Linked DNA regions of Coturnix japonica. The protein of the gene in region 2 interacts with the protein of the main gene of each other region in a pairwise test. Links are inferred from orthologs where the notes say so. Each region holds a gene or a part of one and is shown on either strand. Other genes may lie near its edges. The genes, in order: TMA16 and KLHL2.

Evidence for each region.
Region 1: the proteins of KLHL2 (region 2) and TMA16 interact in binary tests that used the Homo sapiens proteins (3 or more experiments, as listed by UniProt). The two-hybrid records come from large-scale screens. The link is inferred for Coturnix japonica from reciprocal best matches to the Homo sapiens genes KLHL2 and TMA16.

The regions. Positions count from the first base shown.
Region 1 is NC_029519.1:20,542,673-20,552,020, reverse strand, and holds the start of TMA16 (translation machinery-associated protein 16), read right to left. Parts: upstream 5,938-9,348; 5' UTR 5,849-5,937; coding exon 5,846-5,848; intron 5,261-5,845; coding exon 5,148-5,260; intron 474-5,147; coding exon 436-473; intron 1-435. UniProt on the Homo sapiens protein: Involved in the biogenesis of the 60S ribosomal subunit in the nucleus.
Region 2 is NC_029519.1:20,955,532-20,963,646, forward strand, and holds the end of KLHL2 (kelch-like protein 2), read left to right. Parts: intron 1-2,172; coding exon 2,173-2,313; intron 2,314-2,492; coding exon 2,493-2,636; intron 2,637-3,317; coding exon 3,318-3,346; 3' UTR 3,347-4,442; downstream 4,443-8,115. Other genes in the region: MSMO1 (methylsterol monooxygenase 1), read left to right, coding at 5,595-5,849, 6,629-6,777, 7,548-7,674. UniProt on the Homo sapiens protein: Substrate-specific adapter of a BCR (BTB-CUL3-RBX1) E3 ubiquitin ligase complex that mediates the ubiquitination of target proteins, such as NPTXR, WNK1, WNK3 and WNK4, leading most often to their proteasomal degradation.

The DNA.
Region 1 (9,348 bases), about 410 kb from region 2:
AAACAGACTGAATTAAAAAGAAGTATTACATATTGTGTCTTGAAGTCTTCTATTTACTTCAGAGCACAGAATGTCTGTTTATCAGTATCTATAGCCTTCTTTACCAAACATTTATGAAAACCATGGAGACAATTGCAATAAATATATATATTCAAAAGCAGATGGTTGGTTTACATTGACCCGTTATAAACAAGCTTAATCTTTATGTAATCTTTCTGTAAAGCCCAATCTTTGGTCAAAAACTGAATTTCAGCTCCTCTATGTACTACTTCAGAGAATGTGTTGGGTACTTCAGCAAATCTACAACGTCTATCCTACAATTATAGAGTCAGATTATAGAGAAAGACACTCCAATTGGAACAGCTATAAAGGGAGTAACAAAATTATATCATAGAAAGTTGTGTAATGTATTTGGTAATAAACGTTTCTGCTCACCAATAATACTCAAACGTAAAGCTTTCTCAGTCTTCAACCTAACGGAAGAAAACAAACATGTTAGCCAGGAAAGAGTACAGTGCAAATAGTTATCTTCATTTTCCTTCTTAAAAAAAAAAAAATATTACTTAGATGAAAGTCAAGGTAAAATTACAAACAGAAATATCTGCCAAATGTAGAACAACAAAGCATCATACTACTATTTAATAAACTTCTAAATAATTAAAGCTAGTGCTTAGTGAACAGTAAAACACTTAAGTGAGAAGTTAATGTGTTAAGAAAATGAAACTAAGAGTTCATTTCTTAAAATACAAACTATAAAGAAAATTAATCTGAAAGTATTTTTCACTCCACCTCAGTATGCGGTAGGATAATGAAGCCTTCTGTATTGTGTAGGATGTGTTTACACAATTCAGCTTGGGATCAGTTCCTGTCCTACTAAGAAGTTCTCAGAGACAACAAGTTTTCTAACAGGCCTTTTGCATTTAGTCCTGGAGCTCTCAAACTCATTTTGCAGCAAGGAATGTTGTCGAATTTCACTTTACTTCCAGAAAGGAATGGAATTGACAGCTGGGATAAGTATAAAATTTGCTGCTGGAAAAAAGTATATTTGCATGTTCACCATATATATTCAAGGACTTGATATATTATTAAGACTTTTTCTGTTATTTAATAAGAAAATCGCTCATGAATAAAATAAGGATATATTTTGAAAGGCCAACTATCAAAGTTCAAGACAGTTCAAAGCTACGTGCTTCTGTATTAAATTCTTCGTACTCTGTGGAATCTAATGAGCATTTCACTGAAGTAACTTAGTGGACAAAAATATTTCATCTGTTAAAAAAAACATATTCAGATCAAAAGAGAAAGTCCTGCTTCCTAGAAACCAGAATACTTAGCTCACTTGGCCATTAACCTACACTACTAAAATAAAGATTCGCTTTTTCAACTAGTATTTTATTCTCTGAAAAGTTCCTGAAAGCCACATACAAACCAATGCGCCTCCAAGTTGCTAAGATTTTCACTAACACATTAATGGGAAGCTGCTTTTTCTTCTCAACTGTTACAGATGCCACAGCATCTAGGATAAGATTTTTTAAAGTAAAAAACATACAGGAGACAAATAAGCAGGATGAGTGTTATCATACCTGCAAAAAGCTGTCTGGCTAATGAAATTTAATGTTTAACCAGAAATGACATCAGGGTTAAAGGACAGATCTGAATGAGACTTTGTAAAAACAAAGGAAAAAGGATTAAGATTAGAAGTGAGCTGTAAAATTCTGCTGTAGGAGATTTCTTCAAGATAATTATGGTTGATATCCCATGGAGGGCTTACAGCACACAGCATGGAGTTTTGACAGGTCACAGTGTGCATGGAAAGGATTTGTATTTCCATGCAGTAGAGCTGCACACCAGCAGTCTCAGCTGTGAATATGGCATGGCAGCAAAGCGAGCCAAGCACATCTGCAATGAGTTGCCATGGAGAAAACTACAATGCCATCAAGAAAAGCTCTCTCATTCAAATCATAAATAACACCATCTATTTATGGTTTACAACACTAAAAGCCACCATTTGGACCTGCAGTGCTCAATGGATCACTTTTTTGTCTAGGCAATTATGTACATAATCAGGCTTATTTTCTGGCAGAAAAGCCTTCTTTATTAAGGAGTACACAACTTATCTCAGTATGAGAAATACGAGAGGATATGATCAGTTACTGCCTCACTGTACTTTTCCTAAGAGCATTACCTCAACACCTGCTAGAAAAAAACAGGGAAGCGAATCAAATAAGGCAAGGCAAAGACAGTTCCTCTCATCTCCTTCCACACAATGAGTAACATCTTTTACTCAAGGGGAAGAGAAGATAAGGGCAGGATTTCAATCTTGCAGCAAGCTCTTAACTCTGAATGAAAGAAAAAAAGTAAATGATACGTTTAGACACTGATTATGGAAAAGGATGATGAAAGGTTTTCTTGAGGTTTAGTAGATATTGTGTGAAGAGCAACACAGGGAAGAAAAAAGTGTGATTCAAGTGGACAAGTTGGCTGAAGACTGCAGTCAATTTTCTCAAACCAATTGGTCTGTCACACCTTATTACGATAAGGGCTGGTCTTTTGTAGGACAGATAAAGTTTCTGGACAAGCTTATTATTTCCTTCATACTTCACTGCGCATGCTCGCATTGAAGACTATTTGGATGACAGAGGCGATCAAAGACTTCTGTAACTTAGAGAATTTCTCCTTCCATCTTCCCCAGTGTCACACTGTAAAACTGAAATTGCATGTGCAGGTAACAATGGGTAATTCATTTGTTTGGACACAGAATTTATAGACAGAACACTCTGCTATAACAATAAGCTTTGGATGGCCCATGTTGACACACTACTTCTGGCAGAATAGTTTCTGTATGAGAAACAAAGGGTTATATTGATTACCATCAGATTAAAGAACTTGCACCTGAAACAGTAAGAAAGCTTGGAAAAGGCAGCAATCAAGACACAGAGCCTAAGACAGCAATCTACATCCTCTAATCTTGAACTGTTCAGCATGTCTGCTTATTAAAAAATAAAAATAAAAAGCTTTTAGCATTCAAAACAAAGAGAGCTTAAGGGAGAAGAAAGCCCTCTACTCTTTCTAATCTTAAACTGAGACATTCTCTGAAGACACTAGGCTTCCCTGATATTTAACAGAATTAAGGAGGAAGCAGCTGCTTTTTCACTGACTTGGTTGAAACACCCTTAATTAGCCGGCTGGGCAGCCAGTACTTAACGGTTTTCCATAAAATGGTGCCTTTTCCTCAGGTTAACCCATTACACATATCAAAAGGGGTCTGTCTGTTTCACTTGGAAGAATACTGCTATGACCAGCTCCTTTTACTGCACTTCAAAAGAGCAGAAAGGCTAATTTTGCTGTTAAGTCTCTTAAAAAGGAAATAAATCCTTTTATAAATAATTTTATTTCCTTTATGTGAAATTCCTTGTTAAAAAGCAATTACGTTTACAAAATGAACTTTTTCATGATGAAAAGTAACTAAATGGTAAAACAAATGGGAGAATGCCAATTCCAGTAGGAGGTAGATTGTTTATTATTATTATTTTCTGCTTCTTTCTGTTCTAAACAGAAACAAACAAAGCACTTAAACAAGAATTTCTTAGTACTGGTGTCTACATCAGAATAATTCTACCCACACAAACAAATCAGAAGAAGATCTGATTAAGTGTGCCACATCACAATGAATAATCACAACATCCTTTACACACTGAGTGTTTTGTGTACATTTTTGCTTTCAGCGAAGAAGCAGATGTAAGCAATGAAAATCAAATATGATTTGGTTACCTTTCATGATTAAGCTCTCTAAGTGGCAGTTAAGAGCCAAGAAGAGTTTATCTAAGGGACGAGGTAGTCAATTTAGCACTTAAGAAAACATTTATGATCACTAATAGCACTCAGTTGAAACCAGCAGTCAGACAGCACAGACAATATAAAGCAGCAGGGAAGACTTCTTGCATGCTAAAAAACTGCAGGAATTTCTACATGTGCTGCTTGTAAACTCTTGTAGCAGCTCTGCTGAGGCAATGTGACATAGTTGTGCTTGTAAAGGGCCCCTTCCCAGGTACAAAAAGGTACATATTTGTGCTGTGTAAGGCTGTACATCCATCCCCAACCATAAAAGTTGCACAGACTCTGAGGAACATTTTAACTGTACCAGGAGCTCCCAGTGCAACATCTTCAGACATTTAAGTATTTTTGTTTAGTGTTCGTGGTCCTTCCAAATTATACCTTGACAGAAAATGCCTGAAGTTCACTTGAAGAGCTTTGTACACAATCGTAGCGAATCAGTGTTCAAGGAGCTGGTCTATGCATGAGAGAGACCAAGCTGAGACAGACTGGAAATTGAATGCAAGTCCTGTATAGCTATCTCTTCCTTCTGCAGAAGGGGAAATGAAAGCTAAAAGAAAACTGAACTTGCCATGAAACAGCAAAACATCATCCAAAAGGTGTCAAATATTAGGTTCACTTAGAAAGCTCCTGCTGGCTGGGGCAGATACCAGTGAGGTTGTTTTCAATGAATTCAGCACAAGAAGGTAGGCCCACGTAAAACTTGGAGTAAAGTCAAGCCAGGTGACTAAGCTTCATTTGATGTCACTAGCACAATGCCATTGAGACTACAGTAAGCAAAATACTCACTTGCAATGCAAAAACCTTGCTTAAAATGCAAAAATGCAGTAGTTGAACTACATACTTCAAGATTTTGTGTATATAGTTGTATGGGAAATTGGTAATCACAGCCTGAACCTCCGATTAATCAGCTGAGGCAAGTGTCAGGTCAACTGTGGGAGCACAGGTGAGAGTAATTTAGCTGTGCTCCCAGAAGGGGTAGAGCCTGACTCCACCTCCTCTAGACCTCATTTATGGGCTGACCACCACTGTGGCAGCATCTCTTGGAGACTGCTCCCTGGTGGAGATTGCCTCAGCATTTCCCAGAGAAGGTGTCCATATTGGTGAGTTTTTCCCTATAAATAACCTTTTGAATATCTGTTATCATCTTTGTATTATTCTGTCTTACAGTAATTATGTCATTTCACACAGCCTAGCACTGTTATACAGATCTTTAAAATAAAAGCTTTATTGTACCAGTCTCTTTTCACCAACATTCCCAGCTAAAACACACACTGTCCTTCAGCATGTATGTAAGTTTACCCAGTACTTACTTCTCTTTCTTATCCTTTTTGTGTGCTTCCCTAGCGAGTTGTGCAGCTTTCCTACTGTAAGGATGGACAGCTTTTTTCTCTTGCTTCCCTCCTTTGGTTTTTTGCAATTTTGGCTGAAAATAAATGAAATAAAACTTTAAAGAGAAGATAGGAACACGTGCCAAGTGAAGACCTAAAAGCTCATGCATGTACATCATCTATGTCCAGATGTGGGGTCCTCAGTAAGGAAAGAGGCAGATCTGCTGGAGCACATCCAGATGAGGGCCACAGAAATGATCCCAGAGATGGAACACTTCCTTGAAGACAGGCTGAGAGCTGGGGCTGTGCAGCCTGGAGAAGGCTGGAGAGGTAACCTGAGAGTGGCCTGTCGGTATCCAAAGGGGAGGGCTATGTGAAAGAACGGGACAAGCAGGGCACAGGACAAGGGGAAAGAGTTTCAAACTAAGCGAGGGAGGATTAAGACTGGATATAAAGAAGAAGCTATTTACACTAAAGGCGATACGAGCACGACACGAGCCCTCTGCCTGCTACCGGAAAGTCTTACACGATCGCGAATTAGCCGGGCCGAGCCGCTGCGGGCCTTTCCCCCCTCCTCCCCCCGGTCCCGTGCTTAGCAGCCGGCGGTACCGCCTTCCCGCATCGAGCTGCTCCCGGCAGGAAGGACCGCTCGCACCCACACACCCCGCACCATCACGCACCATTGCGAACGCGTTCTCTCTACGGCCACCGTCCGCACGGTGCTACTGCCAAAGAGATCCGGGCGGGCGGCAGTGCAGCGAGCACGCGGTTCCGGGGCGGGTCAGTATGTGGCCAGGTATATCTGTATAGCCTGCATGTGTCTTAAAGCACGAACCGCTTCTGACTCTGCTTAAGCTTCTGTCCAGCCTGAAGAATAAATCCTTATAACCATTAAAATGTATTGTTACGTTGTGCACTTGCAACGCAAATTAAGATAATAAAGAGGAGCTTAAGATATTCTAACTTTTTTATGTCTTCCATAGTGAATTGAGTTTGCTGCCCATTAAACTTTTCTGGTTATCTTCTGATCCAGATCTCTTCTGGATATTTCTGGATGTTTTCACTGTACACACAGTAGGAATGGAAACATAATAAAAGAAATCTTGGGCAATTAAGAAAATAGTTACTGAATTAACCCAAAGATTTCGTTTTTCTGTGGGAGAGAGAAAAAATGTGAAATGATGGAAATCTCATAGTCTTGTGTACCAGAGAAGTTTGAATGGGAGGAGATAATTATGTATATTTTGTTCTGTTGCTGATTCAGAGTGATCTCTTTCTTTCCTGTTTCTTTCAGTCTCTTTCACTTCAGGTCCTGGACCTGCTGCAACTGAAGCTGATGTGTGAACATATTGTATAATATTTTAGTTGAGGTAACTCTGGCAATTCTGTTTTATCTGAGATTCATGGAAACAAGTATCACTTCTAAGATCTTATGAGGCTCTCAGCATCTCCTCTAGCACGCTTACATATAATTTATGATTTAGTTATTTATACTGATATTTTTTTTCCTTTTTTTTTTCCTGCTTTTTGTTTGTTTGTTTGCTCGTTTAACTTAGAATAGGCTTTCTCTTCACTGCAATAAGTGAATGCCACAGCCTCATGCATAGCTAAAACATACATATCTACTCATATACAACTCTGCTATTTTCAGTTTAAAATCACATAATTAAAACAAAAAAACAAAACACAAAAAACCAGCATTACACTACACCATATTACCATGAGAACTCGTCCTAGAATGTTTCTTTCTTATTAGATAGTCACCTTACTTTTGAGTTTCAAGCTGTAAGAGTTATGTTGGAATAGTCCAGGTAAATGTGCTCAGACGCATCACTATATGCCTACAGATGACAAAAGTAAGGTTCTGCTTTAGCTGAGTGCCTTGTTTTCCTCAGTAGACATATAATTTCCTTGTAAACATTATGCATTCTTAATAATTTGTCTGATTATCTCTGTAGGCTTTTAATGTGGAATCTTTTTTCTCATCAAATATTTTTTTTTTCCCCAATTTCATTAATGTCTGTTTAAAGGAATTAGCATTGTATAAGGAAGTAATGAAGAGTTTGGACTGTTTAAAGACTTTGGAGTCTGTAATTTCCAGAGACTGAATTATTTTGCCCTCTGCAAATTGTCAAGATCAAGCTTCTAAAATCACCAAAGCATGCCAAGACCCATAGGTACCATATCCAAATGTGTTTAATCCTTAAAAAGAAATTCTTATGCTGGAATGGAAAAAATGCTTGTTTTGATGGTGGATCTCCCCTCAAGAAAGTGGGTGGTTAGCTTTATCAGTTCTTAATAATGTAAAACAACAAGTGCGCTTCTTTCAGCAAAAACATTTTGTTGGACTCATTTTTGTGTGTATGTAAAGGAAGGTGGGAGGCAGATGAATGAGATGACACTTTTCTTGGTGGTGTGTAGCAATAGGACAAGGAATAATAGCCTAAAACTTGTACATAGGAGTTTTTCATACTAACATGCAGAAGAACCTCTTTATGATAAGGATGAAGGAGCACTGGAACATGTTGCCCAGAGAGGTTGTAGAGACTCCTTCTATGGAGACAATCAAGACCCGTCTGTACACCTACCTGTGTGACTCATTGTAGGGAACCTGATTTAGCAGGGGGGTTAGACTTGAGGTCCCTTCCAATGATTGTGTGTGGTTCAGTGATCTTCATGCTAAATAACGTCAAATTCTAGAAAATAAGACTCTGATGCTTATTGCTCAAGTCAGGACCCAGAATCCCCTTGCTCACTGCTGTTTATACTTGGAAGCTAATTTGTAGGGGTTGGCAAAAACACGGCTCCTTCCCCAGAGTATCTGTTACAGCATCTTTGAGTAGCCTTACTGCTAGTAATCACTTCCTGCTATGCTGAAGTTGCAGAATGTGTATTTTCTATTTAAATGGCCCATGAAGTTGTGAGCTTAGACAAAAATCTTCACACCAATTAACTCATCTTCTGCATGAAAACACTAAGAACCTGAAAGTTCTCAGTTTGACTTTCAGTGGTAAAAAGGCAAAACACTGCAACAGAGTAGCTATTCCTTAAAGCTTAGCAGCCATATGCTGAGCTTTTATGAGCTGGCACTGCTGAGAAACTTTAAATATGATTTAGCGGTGCTTTTCATTCTTTAGGGAAAACGGTAAGCCAAGTTATAACTCCAGAGGATTCAGGTCTTTATTACTTGTAAGATAATTAAACCAAGCAGAAGAAGCAACTAAAACCATAGTGACATTAACTGAAACAGCACAGTAGGTTTATATATGTATATAGAAATATGAAAAAAAATGGGATTTTTTTCAGCTGTAAAAGTGAATTCATAGAAATGAATGGTGCCTTTTGGGGCTATGTGAAATGTTACTAACAATTGCTGCAAATAATAAACAAAATGGTAGCATATTTTTTTTGCATTGCAAACAAATGTAACCCTGACTTCCATAAAAATCTAAGTTGAACTATTATGCATCAAAATTGCCCGAGTTCAAGCTGTAGCACAATCTCACTTGAAGTTTGTCAGCCTTTAAATTCAACATGGTGTTGTCTTGTGTGTACAAACCACATACCTGTTTTGGAATGTCCAGAGATCACTGGCTGAGCTGTGTAACAACTTTACTCTTCTCTCGTCCTTCAGAAACCACAAAGTACCAAATGATGTTGGGCACCAGTATTTTTTGTTTGTCGTTTGCTGGTTTGTTTTGGCTTTCCTGAGATTGAATCAGATGTGGGACCCTTAGGGTAAGTATTCAAGTAGCCAGTTAATGCTGTGTTCAGAATAAGACTCAGAGCTCCAGAAAAAGTGAAGAATTTATTGTGTGATCTACCCGGAAGGAACTTGTTTGTCTGAGTTTCTCCCAGACATTACATTTATCATGCAACATATTTACTACAAATAGTGTTTTTTTAATTTTATTTTTCATTCTTATGTTATCAGCCAGAACTAGAAGCTTCACAGCACAGAGCTCTGTGCCTACTTTGGTACAAGAAGCAAGAAGTATGCAATCTACTCAGTTTACACCAATTACTCAGTGTTATAATGGACAATGTGGGCAAGTATAGATGCACATCAGTTAATTTGAATTTCTCACTTATCTTTCCCCTGATAGGTAAAGCCAGTCACTTGGTCTGCATCTTCCTTCCTTTGTTATACAAGCAGATATTACTCCTTAGAACCTTCTGTACT
Region 2 (8,115 bases):
CAAACCACTATATCTGCTTCAACTGGTGGTCAGTCCTAGTGTTTTTAGGTACTTGCTAAAAAGAATTTTGTTCCTGTATTAAATCTATGGATCTCTGTTCATCTCGAGGAACTTTAGCCCATCTCTTCTGTTCCTACTGCTTCATCTTCATTCAAAAGCAACTTCAGAGGTTAACCCTCAGTTAATCTTCTCTAGTACCAACTGCATCTCAGTTGATCAAGTGGGGACAAATCTGTTTCCGGCAACATATTGGGATGAGGAACTTCAGATTCAGATATAGGCCGTTTGGGAGGGATGAGAGAGGTAAGACAGGGTCCTGAAAAATGGGCAGGAAAGAAAAATAACAGGAGAACTCTGAAGACGGCAACAAGAAGATACAGACGGAAGGAGCAAGAAATAAGGTAGGACTTGGAAATGGGGTGTGGGGTTAAGGGAAAATGAAGGGCCAAGGAGAAATGAACGACATTTTCAAAAAGAAAATGAATTGCCAAATAAAAAATGGCAATATGGCAGAGGAAAACTATATATGCTATATAGGCAGGTCAGAAACTGGAGAGAAAACTCAGGTGGGGAAGAAAAATATCAATGAAGCACATTCTTTTTAGTTATTTGCTTGATCTATGTCACGTTGCACATTTAAACTAAAAATCTTAGCCATCCTAGCTCTATCATGTTTAACATTACCAAAGATGAATGTTGTATTATCCTGTCTAATAAAGTGAGATCAGAGTGGGAGAAAGAAAAGCTGTCACTTTGTACTGTGACGTGATAGCTAGAAATAATAGCAATCAAGGAGGAATTAAATTAACAGGGATGGGTACAGGCAAATGTCAGTAGTGAATGTCACTGACAGAGCACTAGATAGCATGATTTATAAATCAGTGTCATATTAAGACCTACTTTTCAGATTTGCGATACTATTTAACTCTTCCATGTTTCCTTCCCCTTTTCCTTTAGTTATTGAAAGCTGTTGTTGTTTTCTATATGAGAATTGTTTCCGCAGGATTATTTTCTCTTCCCCTCATAGTATAGGAATGGCCCATACTCACAATCTTAGTGATATATTTTTCAAAGATGTTTTGGCTGGTTTTCAAGGTCTCAGAACATTTTTTTTTCTTAAGCCACATTTTTTTTTTTTTGGTCTGAAAAACTTCATATTTGCCATTTCCTTTCCTTTTTAATACATGTTTTAAGCTGTGCCCTTTTTGTGGAACTCTTTAATAACTATCTTGGCAAATTTGTATCATGCTATTTAAACTTTACAATCTCAAATATAACACGTAATAAGTTTCCCGGTGTACTTTCATAGTAATGATTTTTAATTATCTTTATGGTCCATCATTTGCAAGTTTTAATGCCAAAAAATTGCACTTCTGAAACCCAATATGTTTGGGTTATAACAGTGCATTATAAAGTGAGGCATAAACTAACAGGCCTCCCTTTTTGTTTCCTCTGATACCATCTTTTCTGTACGTGCAGTCTAACTAGCAAGTAGGCCTAGACTAGCTACTTCATCCCAAGCTTATAGATTGGTAAAATGTTGTAAAGGGGATGCTAGGATTAAAGGAGATCCAAAAAATACTTCTGGATAATTCGTTAGCTAAAGCTTGGCTCGAGGAAGTTTTGTGTTCTCCTCCAGATCTGCAGGAAGAAGCTACTCACTGTAATTGTTTACTTTTGTTTCATACATGTTTATAAGGTGGTATCGTAGCACTTCAGTGGAAGCATTCCTGTTGTTTAATGTCTGTCCATTCAGCTTTACTGTACTGCATAGTATTTATATTCTAAAAATTCAGTTCTGCTTTATCATTTTATCAGATTTCCTTTATGTTGACTGAGCATACTGCATTATTTACTATCATTTCTAATTAGTCCTAAACTCCAGCAGTCCTCCTATTTCTGCTCATCATCCTTTCATCCAAAGTTTTTTAAACGTTATGTTGCAGAACACCTCTGGTTTCTGTATGCTGCAATATGGATGGGCATGCAAGACATTTTATCAGTGTCTTGCATTAGTTTACTGTCTCTTGCTTTATGTATCCTGACCTAAATGTCTTCTGAAATAATTCCTAACATTGGATGAATGATTTGTTTTAGCAGATCTTTTTTTGTTTTCTTGGTATCAGTCAAATTACGCTGTAGTTAATTTTGAGTATTTTCATGTGTTCACAGGTGTTGGTGTGTTAAACAATTTACTGTATGCGGTAGGTGGTCATGATGGGCCTTTGGTAAGAAAAAGCGTGGAAGTGTTCAATCCCGTCACCTGTACATGGAAGCAGGTTGCAGATATGAACATGTGCAGAAGAAACGCAGGTATGTACTACAGTTACTCTAAAATGCTAGCAGTAAAATTAGGTGCAAATGGGATGCTCCTTTTTCTTTTAAATGGCTTTCTGCTTCTTTGATGATGTCACAGCATGGAAATCATGCTTTCATGGGTATGAATGAGCTGATCATTAACTTTCATGATTGGTTTCCTGTCTTTTTTTTAGGCGTTTGTGCTGTAAATGGTCTCTTGTATGTAGTTGGAGGAGATGATGGTTCCTGTAATTTATCAACAGTGGAATATTATAATCCAACAACTGATAAATGGACAGTTGTGTCATCTTGTATGAGTACAGGAAGGAGCTATGCAGGTAACGTTATCTAGGGTTTCTTTTTTTACAGTATATTGAGCTGCAGCCGGGATAAGAAATTTGAAGCATTCAAGCAAAGCACTGTGTAAAATAAAAGCTAAGATACTAGAATGGGCATGAAGAATTTGATGGTTAATTTTGAATATAGACTTCAAACAATTAATTCACTAAAAATGAAAAAGGTATTGAACTGTATTGAAGAGGAATTTAGCATGTAATGATGAATTAGAAGACTCCAGTGTGACCAGTCCCTTTTTTCCTCAAACACGCTTTGTAATTGTCTCAATTTCTAGCGGTCCAATTCTGAAGTTCTCTGTGGGAAATTGCTATGTAGAAAACAAGAGCAGTTTTAGGAATCTTTTCTTTTAATAACTGCAGTTTCTTAAGTTATTACAGTGTATGTAAAGGATATATTAATTATAAGGGTAAAGTTGATTTCCCCACCCCCACCCCCCCGCCTACCCCAAGTAACAGAAACATTCAGAAATCTACACTGATTCATATAACTTTGTTATATAATCAATTATTATTTGATATATATGTATCAAATGTACTATTAAAAATTAGACAATAACATGAACAATAATAATAGCCTGCAACTAGCATAATATTGAAAAGCTGTGCATCACCATCAAGGTTTCCCTGTTTTCCCTAGACTTACACCTTTCTTCCTTACTCTAGGTGTTACAGTTATTGACAAACCATTATGATCGATAAGGGGATCTTCAATTTGATTGTGCACTAGAAGCAGCCTTCAACAAGTGTATTTGAAGTGACTGAGTACCTAAGCACTTCTCTACTTGTAGCTGCACCTTGAGTCACAGTGGAAGATGTGACCGTCTACAATTGCAGATGATGGATGATGAAGATTACTCTAGGTAGAAGCAATGCGTAGGACTACTCTGCGGTTGAACAGGGGCTGACTGGATATTTGAAGTGTAGTAGGCCGTGTCTTTTTTTAATTGCAAGATCTTCAAACACTTAAAGCCACTTTCATAAGGACAGACTTATGTCAGTTGTGGCTGAGAAACAGGTTGTCAGTGGAGAATGGTGTGTATTCTGGTGAAAGTAAATTTGTCTTATTTTTTCCAGAGACTAATAACCATGTTTAAAGAAATGAACTGTCAGTCTTCATAGTAGGTATCGAATTCCACCTCAGTAATTTAAGCTGGCATGGGGGAAATTTGTTTCCTTTTATAAGACTTTTGTTACGTAACTATGATATGTGTATATGTACGTGTGAGCATAAGTTGCTTTCTATTGAAATTCTTCAAAAACCAACTTTATTATTTATAATTTGGCACAGTACTTTGAATATGCCCGTACTATGTTGTAAAAGAGAGTTGTATTTTTTGATATTTAACAATACTTAACACTACTAATTCCCACTGAAGGAGATCAGAGCTGGTATAATGATTCCTGGACAGGTGTAATTTCGAGGTCTTTTTAATAAAAATGTTGTCTGTACTTAATGTTGTTTTTTCTTTCCCTGTTCAATTTTGGTCACATTTAGATGTTACTTCTTTCTTACCTTTTTATGCGAAAAGTGATTTGGCATGAAAATAACCGAAAATTTATAATGAATGTGTGAAATTAAGTTGAACTTGCATGGTACTAAGGTCTCTTAATGCGTGTAACCTTAGCTTCTGTTAGCTAATACCTGGATATACTGTATGTGGCCATGTTCATAGAGCAGCTCGTTTCTATTCCTTCTTGGACGGCCTCCTTTTAACACGACCAAAGTTATTGTCATATTTGAGATATTTTCTTCAAATAAACAATTTGTATATGGTTTCCTAACGCCAACCGACTGCTTAAAGCTTGTGTTTCTCCATACAGAAAACGGTTTCTCAGCTGACATCAGGGCACCGACTGCTTAAAGCTTGTGTTTCTCCATCCTACACCTCAGCTGACAGCAGGGAAGAGATTTTGGGGGAGAAAGGCTGGTTTTGAAAAGACCTGAGTGTTAGTTATTGCTGAGGCTGAAAGTGCTCACGTAACTACCAGGGAGGTTTCTGAAAGCGTTTTACTCAAGCCATTGCACTGCAATTTTCTCACTCCCTTTCCTAGAACGAGGAAACGTTATCCGGCCTCGCCCCGACCCGGAGAGGAAAAACCCCATATCGGGTTCAGGGCAGCACCCCCCCACCCGCCCTGCCCACCTGCCGGCCCGCCTCCTCCTCATCACCTCGTGCACGTCACCCGGCCGCCCGCCCGCCTCATTGGCCACGCTCCGAGGTCTCACTATCCTCACTCCACCCCTCCAGCCAATCGCCGAGCGCGCACACAGCTCCGGCCCTCCCTCTCTCACGCCTGACTCTCCGCCGCTACCGCTGGCCAGCCAATGGGAGCCGCGCCGGGGTTACCGGGCGGCCAATAGGAGGGCGCAGGTGAATAGCCGGCCGCGCGCCGCTTGTTATTGCTGCCGTCGGCCGCGGTGTGACAGGGCCGGGACTGCGCTGAGGTGAGCGCGGGGCGCCGGGGGCCGCGGGATGAATGGGGGGACGAGTGGGGGGACGAGTGGGGGCCGTGAGCCGACGGCAGAGGGACGGTCGTGGGCCGCGCTGGGGTGCCCTGGGCCGCTCTGGGGTGTGCCCGGCCTCGGCTGTGCGTGGGGCCTGGGGACCGGGCCGGGCGTCTCCCTGAGTTCCACCCCACGGCGGCTGTGTCGCTGTCTGCCTTTTGTACCCGTCTGGAGGTTTATGCTTTTATGCTGTGCTTCAGAAAAAGGACTTGGTGTAGGGAGCCTGCTTTGGCAGGGGGGTTGGACTCGATGATCTCTAGAGGTCCCTTCTAACCCCTACAATTCTGTGATTCTGTGATCCGTATTAACCTGCTCCTCGGTTTTTAGCCTCTTTCTGAAGAATAACTGCTGTTTATTCGTCTTCTCTTAAAACACCCAGGTTACGCACAGACGGCTGTGGAAGATCTGTGACTGTGATGTTTTGTGCTTGAACGATGGCAACGAACGACAGCGTTAATATCTTGAACTCTGCTTATCTGGCAGTGGAATATATAGACTCTTTCCTGCCTGACAATCCTCTGCAGCAACCATTTAAAAATGCTTGGAATTACATGCTGGACAACTACACCAAGTTCCAAATAGCGACATGGGGGTCGCTTTTAGTTCATGAAGCTTCATACTTCTTGCTCTGTGTACCTGGATTCATCTTTCAGTTTATACCCTACATGCAGAAGTATAAAATTCAGCCGGTAAGACATAGTAGTGGACTGCACACTGATCTACCTCGAAACACATGAAATCAAGCATGTGGCTGCTGTTGGTTTCCATTTCATGTGGCCATGTTTGCTCAGTCACTGTGAACAATCCAGAAGGAACAGAGGAAACTTAAAGTGTTTGTGAGGGGATGCAGAGAAGTGGGTTTGGGGAGGCAAAGGAGTTTTTTCAGAGTGAGAGTGTATCCTTTCCATCCTCAAGAGGTAGAGAACAGGTATGTCAGCCTTCATAATAGGAACTGGAAGTAATACAACTTTCTGGAGTTGCCACAGTGATTTAATAAGGTGTCTTCCTGCAGAACCTCTTTTTTTGAAGACAGTTTAATTCTTCACGACTTTTTATCTTCAGCTTCTGTTTTATTCTTTTAGCTATGGCAACACTTTGGTGCAAAGAAGAAAAAATAAGTTAGATTTGTGTCATTCAACACACTTAATCTGATATGTTCCTGCTAATTATAATTACTGAAGTAACAAGAATAGTTTTGGGGGGAGGGGGGAGGATGGGGGGGAGGGCTGGCAAGGACAACTTCTGATGAGACACTTCAGAAAAGTAGTTTAGAAAAGTGAGAGCCTTTGAAACCAAATCCAGAGCCATGAAACTGGTGTTCCCTGGGATAATTTGCGTGATGGGAAGACTGGCTGTCTGTCTTGTAAGGTGAAAGGAAATTGCCTTTGAAGTCATCTTTGTGGCACTTTGGTTACTCTTGATAGAAATGTATAACTCAACTCATTTTTCTTTTTTTTTTTTTCCTTAGGATAAACCAGAAACGTGGGAAAAGCAGTGGAAGTGTTTCAAAACGCTTCTCTTCAATCACTTTTTCATTCAACTTCCTCTAATCTGTGGCACGTACTACTTCACAGAATTTTTCAACATTCCATATGAGTGGGAAAAGATGCCTAGGTGGTACGTAGATATGTCTTGTACATTCATAATGAATGACACTTACATATATAACAAAAACCGTATTGGAGTTTGTGACATTAACGTAACTTTTTAGGCTAATAAACTATGCTTGCTAACCACTCTTGAGACTAAATTGCAGTGGGAGCTAATTAGAGCTTCCTAGAGTCACAGCAGCTTGTGTAAGATATCAGGTGGGTGGTGTGCTATGGGTTTGTTTTTATTTTTAAATCCAGCTGTTTTTTTTTTTATTTTCTATTATTTCCTCCTAAGTGTTTCTTAGCTCCACCTTGTTTTATTCAGCAGCAGCAATGCGTTACTGAAGGGAGGGGAAACTGCCTCGTGTTTCCCTCTTTTGCCCTAAACTGGTGAGAAATGCTGCAATACTTCGAAATGCCTTCTTTTCTTTCCCACCAGTAGTTGTTTTCTATAACAGAGGGCCATCTTTTTTAGTTGTTTTCTGTCTGTTTAGGTATCCAGTGTGGTTTCTGTATCTAGATCTTAGATTGCAGGTATTCCTTATAGGCTGTATGTGTGATGTTGAAATGACAGCTTGCTACACTACACATAAACTCTGATATATCAACAGATGAGCTATAAGGGCTAATGTGTATTTTTACATAACAGTGCATTGACATTATCTTTTCAACCAGTAATACATGCAGTTCCTACCTCTACTAGCTCGTCAACTTCTTTATCTTTCAAGGCTGCATATTTGCAATTATCTGCTATAACTCTTAACTCTTCAATTTCTTTTATTTTCATTTTTGAAGGTATGTTTTGCTTGCCCAGTGTTTCGGATGTGCAGTGATTGAAGATGCCTGGCACTATTTCCTGCATCGACTGCTGCATCACAAAAGAATATACAAGTACATCCATAAGGTTCACCACGAGTTTGTAGTATGTATTACTTGATTTTATTTTATTCTATTACTTTTAGTGTATGCAGATTCATACAGCTTGTTTAAAGACTTTATTCAGCAGACTTAAGGGTTTTGTATCCTTCTGACTGCAGTCTTTCCTTGTGCTCAGCGTCGAACACAGCCATCCATTTTGTTTCTGATAGCACCACCTGTTATTTGATTTTATTTAAAGAGAATGAAATGGAGCGCTTTTCAAAGCGTAGTATGCGCCTGCTTCCTAGGGGGGAGAGATGGGCTGGGTTTTCTGGTTATGGCTGTCACTTGACATTGCTGCAAACTGATGGATATATGGTGATGTACTTACATATGTATAATTACTTATATATATATATAAAATGTAAGTAATTATATATGTAAATATATATATATAAAATTATTATATAATATATATAATATAAATATATAATTATATACACAT